2 linked regions of the Stegostoma tigrinum genome follow. The protein of the gene in region 1 interacts with the protein of each later gene in a pairwise test. Links are inferred from orthologs where the notes say so. Each region holds a gene or a part of one and is shown in the gene's direction. Other genes may lie near its edges.

Region 1 (3,913 bases):
CCTCATAAGATCTTCCCTCCATACCAGGCAACATCCTAGTAAATCTCCTCTGCACCTTTTCCAAAGCTTCCACATCGGTTCCTCATGGTGGATTGGTTAGCAAGGTTATCACATGGAATACAGGGAGGACCACCCATTTGGATACAGAACTGGCTCAGAAGTTGAAGGCAGAGGGAGCCAGTGGAGGGTTGTGTGGCTCAGATGGGGATCTTTCAGGTGGTGGCATTCCTATGCATCTACTGCCCTTTCAGGCAGTTGTGATTGTGGGTTTGAAAGATGTTATCTGGGGACTGTTGGTGAATTTCTGCAGTGCAACTTGCAGATGGTATGTACTGCTGCTAATGAGGAGTGGATGCTTGTGGATGAACTGCCAATCAAGAAACAATTTTTCCTGGATAGTATTGAGCTTTTTGAATGTGGTAGGAGTTACTTTCTTCCAGGCAAGTGGGAACTATTCCACCCTCTCTTGTAGATAGTGAATGAGATCTGGAGAGTCAGGAAGGGAGTTACTCATGACAGTATTCCTAGCCTGTAGCCCATTCTTGTGGTTACAAATCTTTACATGGCTACTCCAGTTAAGTTTGAGTTCAGTTTAGTAACCCCCAGGATGTGACTAGTGGTGGTTTCAGTGATGGTAATGCCATTGAACGTCAAGGGTTGAAGTTGGATTGTTTCTTACTGGAGATGGTCATTGTCATTTGTTTGGCATAAATCATATTTGCCACTTTTCAACCCAAGCCTGGATCTTGTCGCATTTGAATATGGACTGCTTCAGTACCTGAGTCAAATGGTTTTGAACATTGGTAAACATCCCCACTTCTGACCTTTTTGATGGAGGGAAGATCATTGGTGAAGCAGCTGAAGATGGTTGGGGCATGGAACACTACCCTGAGGAACTCCTGCAGAGGTGTCCTGGAGCTGAGATGACTGACCCCTAACAACCTCAATGATCTTCACATGTGCCAGGTATGTCTCTAATCAGTGGAGAGCTTGCCCCCATACATACTGATTTCAGTTTTGCTAGGGTTTCTTAATACCACACAATCAAATGTGACCTTGAGGTCAAGGGCTGTCACTCACATCACCTCTGGAATTCAGCTCTTTTGGCTGTCACGGGGTTACGGACCGCGTGACCCTGGAGCAACCCAAACTGGGCATCACTGAGCAGGATTTTGCTGAGCTGGTGCAGCTTGATAGCACTGTTGTTGACACCATCCATCACTTTACAGATGATTGAGAGTAGACTAATAGGGCAGTAATAATGCAGTTGGATTAGTGCAGGTAAGAAACTAAAGAACTGCAGATGCTGTAAATCAGGAAACAAAACATATTGCTGTAAAAGCTCAGCATGTCTGGCAGCATCTGAAGGAGAAAACAGAGTTAGTGTTTCAGGTCTAGTAAGCTCTAAGTTCTGAGGAAGGGTAACCGGACCTGAAACGTTAACTCTGTTTTCTCCCTCACACCTGCCGAGCTTTTCCACCAATTTTTGTTTTTCTTCCTGATTTACAGCATCCACTTTTTCTGGATTTTATGCAGTTCCACTGGTGGCCATAGTGGGCGCTCTGTGTCGGTGTGCAGTTTCCTTCCGGTGGCCGCAGTAGGCGCGCCGTGTCGGTGTGCGATTCCCCTGTTGACCAGAGTGGGCGCGCTGTGTAGCCATCCAGTTCCCCTTGTGGCCTTAGGAGGCGCGCTGTGTCGGGATGCATTAACAGAGATGATAAGAGTTGGAGAATCTGAGATAACAAAGTGTAGAGCTGGATGAATACAGCAGGCCAAGCAGCATCAGAGGAGCAGGAAAGCTGACGTTTCAGGCCCAGACCTTAGGGATCGATGCAGGGCCCGAAACGTCAGCTTTTGTGCTCCTCTAAGATACTGCTTGGCCCCACACTGTTACCTTGGATTCTCCAGCGTCTGCAGATCCCATTATCTCGGACCGATGCAGTCCCCCTGGTGGTCGGAGGGGGCGCGCTGTGTCGCGCTGCAGTACCCTGGGCGTCTGTAGGGGGCGCAGTAGGCGGAACAGGAGTGTCGAGGAGCGGAAGTGGCGGGTGTCTGGAGCCGCTCCCATGGCGACCCGAGCGCTGCAGGAATGGGCCCGTCTACAGGTGTTGGGATACCCGGGGGTCGAGGTGACGAACATGAGCTCGAGCTTCAGGGACGGGCTTGCCTTTTGTGCCATCATCCACCGGCACCGCCCTGAGCTGATGTGAGTGTCTGGGGAGGCCGTGCAGGGAGGGTCTCTTCCCCCGCCCCAGCCCTGAGGTGAAGAAGTACAGGGCTCTCTACCCCAGCCCTGAGTGACCATGGGGTACCTGGTCAGGGAGAGTATCCCCTAGGGGAGTTCTCGGTACAGTGTTTCACCCAGCATGGAGAGTGGAGTGAGAAAGACGGGGCTTCGGGACCCTGAACTGTTCCTTCATCTCTTCTGGCTGTAAGCTGGCTTGTTGGTCCCTGTTGGAACTGCTCCGGCCTGGACAGAGCTGGGCAAAGTGAGCACCCAGTCTCACCCCGTGCCACGTTCTCCTTGGCCCAGGGCATGCTTCTAGAGTAGCACAGAACAGCAGGGATCAGAATAACTGACTGCTGAAGTGTAAATTTTTCAGTTACGTGGATTGGCCATGCTAAATTGCCCCATAGAGTCCCGGCTAGCTGGATTAGCCACAAGGTAAATGTGGTGTTACAGGGATGGGGGTGGGAAGGTGGATCTAGCGGGAAGGTGGATCTAGCGGGATGTTCTTTGGGGGATCACAGCAGACGCAGTGGGATGAATGGAGATCAGAGCTAATGGGAACTGCAGATGCTGGAGAATCCAGGATAACAAAGTGTGGAGCTGGATGAACACAGCAGGCCAAGCAGCATCTCGGGAGCACAAAAGCTGATGTTTCGGGCCTAGACCCTTCATCGGAGAGGGGGATGGGAAGAGGATTCCGAAATAAATACGGAGAGAGGGAGAGGCGGACCGATGATGGATAGAGGAGAAGATAGGTGGAGAGTATAGGTATGGAGGGGGTAGGTCAGTCCAGGGAGGATGGAAAGGTCAAGGAGGTGGGATGAGGTTGGTAGGTGAGAAATGGAGGTGCAGCTTGAGGTGGGAGGAGGGGATGGGTGAGAGGAAGAACAGGTTAGGGAAGCGGGAATGAGCTGGGCTGGTTTTGGGATGTAGTGGGGGAGGGGGAGATCTTGAAGCTTGTGAAGTCCACATTGATACCATCAGGCTGCAGGGTTCCCAAGCGGAATATAGGTTGCTGTTCCTGCAACCTTCGGGTGGCATCATTGTGCCATTGCAGGAGGCCCAGGATGGACATGTCATCGAAGGAATGGGAGGGGGAGTTAAAATGGTTTGCGACTGGGAGGTGCAGTTGTTCATTGTGAACCAAGCGGAGGTGTTCTGCAAAGTGGTCCCCAAGCCTCCGCTTGGTTTCCCCAACATAGTGGAAGCCACACCGTGTACAGTGGATACAGTATACTACATTGGCAGATGTGCAGGTGAACATCTGCTTGATGTGGAAAGTCATCTTTGGGCCTGGGTTGGAGATGATGGAGGTGGTGTGGGGGCAAGTGTAGCACTTCCTGCGGTTGCAGGGGAAGGTGCCAGGTGTGGTAGGGTTGAAGGGGAGTTTGGAGCGAACAAGGGAGTCACGAAGAGAGTTGTCTCTCCGGAATGCAGACAAGGGTGGGGATGGGGTTGGTGGGGTTGGATTGTAGAATGCAGAAGTGTCTGAGGATAATGCATTGTATCCAGAGATTGGTGGGGTGGTATGTGAGGATGAGGGGGATTCTTTTAGAGCGGTTATTGCGGGGGCGGGGTGAGTTATGTGTTGCAGGAAATGCGGGAGACACAGTTTAGGGCGTTCTTGACTTCTCTTTGGGGGTGGGGGGGCCAAGGAGTTGCGGTCCTTGAAGAACGTGGCCA
Region 2 (3,913 bases), on another chromosome or scaffold:
CATTATCAGTGAGCCTCCGACGAAGCGCTGGTGTTATGTCCCGCTTTCTATTTATCTAACCAGATAAATAGAAAGCGGGACATAACACCAGCGCTTTGTCGGAGGCTCACTGATGACGTTACCTAGAATGGTGACGAAACGTCTGAAAACGAACCTTCCAGCTCAGCGAGCAAACTCTCATCCAAAATAATATCCCTCCTATAAACAGGGAGACCAGAACTGGGTACAGTTCTCTAGAAGAGGCCTCATCAATGTCCTGTACAACCTCAACATAACATCCCAACACCTTTACTCAAAGGCCTGAGCCTTTAACCATCCTATCTACATGTGAAGTAAACGTCAAAAAATTATTGATATTATTAGAATTATTTACCTGAATCCTTAGGTCTCTGTTCTACAACACTAACCAAGGCCCTACTTTCTACTACAGAAATTGTGCATTTGTTTGTTTCACCAAAATGCAATATCTCACATTTATCAAAATTAAATTCCATCTGCCACTGTTCAGTCAATTAATTGAACTGCTCAAGATCCCTTTTCAATCTGCAATAACCTTAAATGATGCTTTCCATTTTGATCCTGAACATTGCCAGAGACCGAAAATGACTTCATCTGTACCTGGATAAACCAAATCCCACTGGAGATTTTGCAACATGACACTCAAAACCTACAGAGATAATGGGAACTACAGATGCTGCAGAATCCGAGATAACAAGGTGTGGAGCTGGATGAACACAACAGGCCACGCAGCATTTTAGGAGCACAAAAGCTGACGTTTCGGGCCTAGACTCTTCATCAGAAAAGCTTGCTGTGTTCATCCAGGTCCACACTCAAAACCTACAATTCACCGGCTCTGTTGTCTGGAACAGTTACAAGGGCTGCATTTTACCAGAAATCATTCAAGTCTCAACTTTGGCTCGCTTCATGTAAAGTGAGTCCTACTGAGTTCTCCAGCACTATTTTCCACAACTTGCCCTGTTAGCTGTGCCTCGCAACATCTTCCGTCCGGTCAGAGGTAGAGTTTTATTGCCACAACTGGATTTCCAGCAGTAGGGCCTTTTCCACGGCAAGCCATGCGCCTCTGCTGGCAAACTGTTCTCCTTCACCGTGCGCGGACCGAGTTGCCACCAGAAGAAGAAATGCCTCTTGAGATGACACCGCTGACGGTTTTGCGGCGACATTTGCAAACGCACTGCCTAGTTAAGAGCCAGGCCACCCTCACGGCTCACGCTCGGCGTCAATCCATCTTGGAAATCTAAGGGAACGCGAAGCCTTTCCCCGATTCTGGTTTGACATCTTTCCCCACTTGTCCGGGTGGTTGGGGGGGGGGGGTGGAGCGGCCGGAGAAGCCGTCGGCTTCAAGCGACTTGAGCCCGCGCGCGCAGAGAGAAGCCGTTGGTTTACGTCACCGGAACAGGTGACACGAGGGTGGGCGGGAGCACGGCTCCTTAAAGCGGAGCGGGGCTCGCGGAGTCTTTGAGAGGGATCTAGGGGGAAGGTTTGGGCTTGTACTCGGGCTGCTCGCTCGCTCGCTCGCTCGCTCGCTGAGGCAGTTAAGTGGTTTTTATTTTGGGGGTTGGGGAAAGTTTAAAACAAAACCGAGGCTTTCTGTCAGCATGTTCAGCTGGCTGGGGACGCACGACCGCGGCAAAAAGGACCCGGAGGTCTTTCAGACGGTGACGGACGGCCTGAAGAAGCTCTACAAAACCAAGCTGCTTCCCCTGGAGGAACATTACCGCTTCCACGAGTTCCACTCGCCCTCCCTGGACAATGCGGATTTCGACAACAAGCCCATGCTGCTGCTGGTCGGTCAGTACTCCACCGGCAAGACCACCTTCATCAGGTGAGCCGGACCCTCCATTCACTGTCCTCCTATTTCTTAATATGTCTCCACCCGCCGCCGCAGGGAGGTGGGCATCGCGCGGGGAAATGAGGCTACTGCCCTGTCGCGCTGTCACTCGCCCTCCCAGGGAGGAGGGCATTGAATGGGGAAATCCGGCTGCCCTGTGTCTCCCTCCCTCGCTGCCCCTCCACCAGGCAGGTGGGCATTGCGCAGGGAAATGAGGCTGCCCTGCCCCACTGTGCCCCCACGGAGGAGGGCAGAGGGCACTGCTCTTGGCTGTTCTCTTGCTCTGCACCTATTGCCTAAGGAAGAAGTTTTGAAGGCCGTGTACAAGGTTCTCAGGCTGCCTGGTTAGGCTCTTGATCTGCCATAAGGAAAATAGGTGGGAACGTATGGATCGATCGATTGATTTCAGCTGGCTGGCGGAAACTAGGCTATGTCATACCTGAGATCTGCTCCAGGCAGGAATGTTGTTGTTGTTGTTTAAAGAAATCGGATCCCACCTGCATTCACTATGCCCAAGATAGAGGTGTCGCTGAGGAGGGTGTAAGGGCTGTTTCTGTCAGTTATCAGTAATCAATATACACAGTTAATAGACATACAGCATAGACAGAGACACTTCTGTCCAACTCATCTGTGCTGACCAGACATCCCAATCTGACCTTGTTGCATTTAGTCCATGTCTGCATCAGCTTGGTTTAATTGTTAATTCTATCTGTCAACAAGTTGTAGCTTCAGGTCGTCCTTTTGGAGGGTTATTTGGCCTTCTGATTCTCCCCTGTCATGTTTATCTGCTTTGCTATTATGGATAATGTAGGAGGGGGCATGGCCTCATTATGAGTATAGTACTGACAGCAAGGTTTCTGGTACCATCACTGACCGCATTGTAATAAGCGGTATGTCAGGTTCCAAGTGATAGATTGTAATTTCTAGTCTGGAGCATACAAGGGTGTTTCTGTGGCTGTCCTCAAGATGGCATGTTGCCTCCTCGGTGCAAGAGTCATGGATCTCTAAGGGTGCAGAGTATTCTGAAAGGGGAGAGTGACCAGCAGGAAATTATTATGCATGTTGGTACCATTGACATAGGTAGGGAAAGGGATGAAGTGCAACAGAGAGAATGTAGGAAACTAGAGTGGAGGTTTTTAAAAAACTAGTCCTCTAGTAATATCAGGACTATTACTTGGGCCATGTGCTAGTTAGAGTAGAAATAGGAGGATACAGCTGATGAACGTGTGGCTGAGGAACTTGTGCAGAGGGCAAGGACTGCTTTTTTCTCTTTGATCATTTCTACCCCAAAGATTCCAAATGACAGGGATGGGTTCCCTGTGAGTTGTAAGTGACCAATATCTTGGTGGGGAGATTGCCCAGTGCTACTTGGGAGGCTTTCAACCTTAAAAGGGTGATGGGGTGAGAACCAAAGCAGTGACAAGAGGCTGAGGCTGGTACAGTTGAGAAGGGGAGCAAGGCAAAAATAAGACAGGACAAGGTAAGTCCTGGGGAAAAAATAAAACAAAATTATCTCAATACAAGAGTCCTGATATGTAAGGCAGATGGATTTAAGGCATTATTGGGACTGTGGGATTGAGGAATCATAGCTATTGCAGAAATGTGGCTCAGGGATGGACCGAACTTGCTGCTTTGTGTTCCAGGGTACAGATCCTCTGGGAAAGAGGAAGGGGGAGTGGTGTTTAGTTATAGCTGTACATAAGATAATCCTGGGAGCTCATGCAGTGAAATTATATGGGTGGAACTGAGAAATAAGAATAAAGGATGATCACATTGAAATTGTACTATAAGCCCCCAAATAGTGAGAAATTAAGAAGCAAATATGTAAAGAAATCTCCGCTATCTGTATTGAAAAAGCAAAGACTGATTAACATGGCTTGTGCATGGAATCGTGACTTGCTAACTTAGTTGAGTTATTTGAAGAGATGATAGACTGACAGCAGAGGACAGTAGACGTCGATATGGATGTCAGCAAAATGTTCGAGAAGGTTTTGCGTGGTCGTCTGGTAAGTAAGATTAGATCGCGTGGAATCCCGGTTGGCACAGGCATGGTGGCCCAAAGGG

The links.
Region 2: the proteins of micall1a (region 1) and EH domain-containing protein 3 interact in binary tests that used the Homo sapiens proteins (3 or more experiments, as listed by UniProt). The link is inferred for Stegostoma tigrinum from reciprocal best matches to the Homo sapiens genes MICALL1 and EHD3.

The regions. Positions count from the first base shown.
Region 1 is NC_081391.1:1,646,214-1,650,126, forward strand, and holds the start of micall1a (MICAL-like protein 1), read left to right. Parts: upstream 1-1,655; 5' UTR 1,656-2,066; coding exon 2,067-2,206; intron 2,207-3,913. UniProt on the Homo sapiens protein: Lipid-binding protein with higher affinity for phosphatidic acid, a lipid enriched in recycling endosome membranes. On endosome membranes, acts as a downstream effector of Rab proteins recruiting cytosolic proteins to regulate membrane tubulation.
Region 2 is NC_081357.1:12,806,789-12,810,701, reverse strand, and holds the start of EH domain-containing protein 3, read left to right. Parts: upstream 1-1,541; 5' UTR 1,542-1,616; coding exon 1,617-1,843; intron 1,844-3,913. UniProt on the Homo sapiens protein: ATP- and membrane-binding protein that controls membrane reorganization/tubulation upon ATP hydrolysis. In vitro causes tubulation of endocytic membranes. Binding to phosphatidic acid induces its membrane tubulation activity.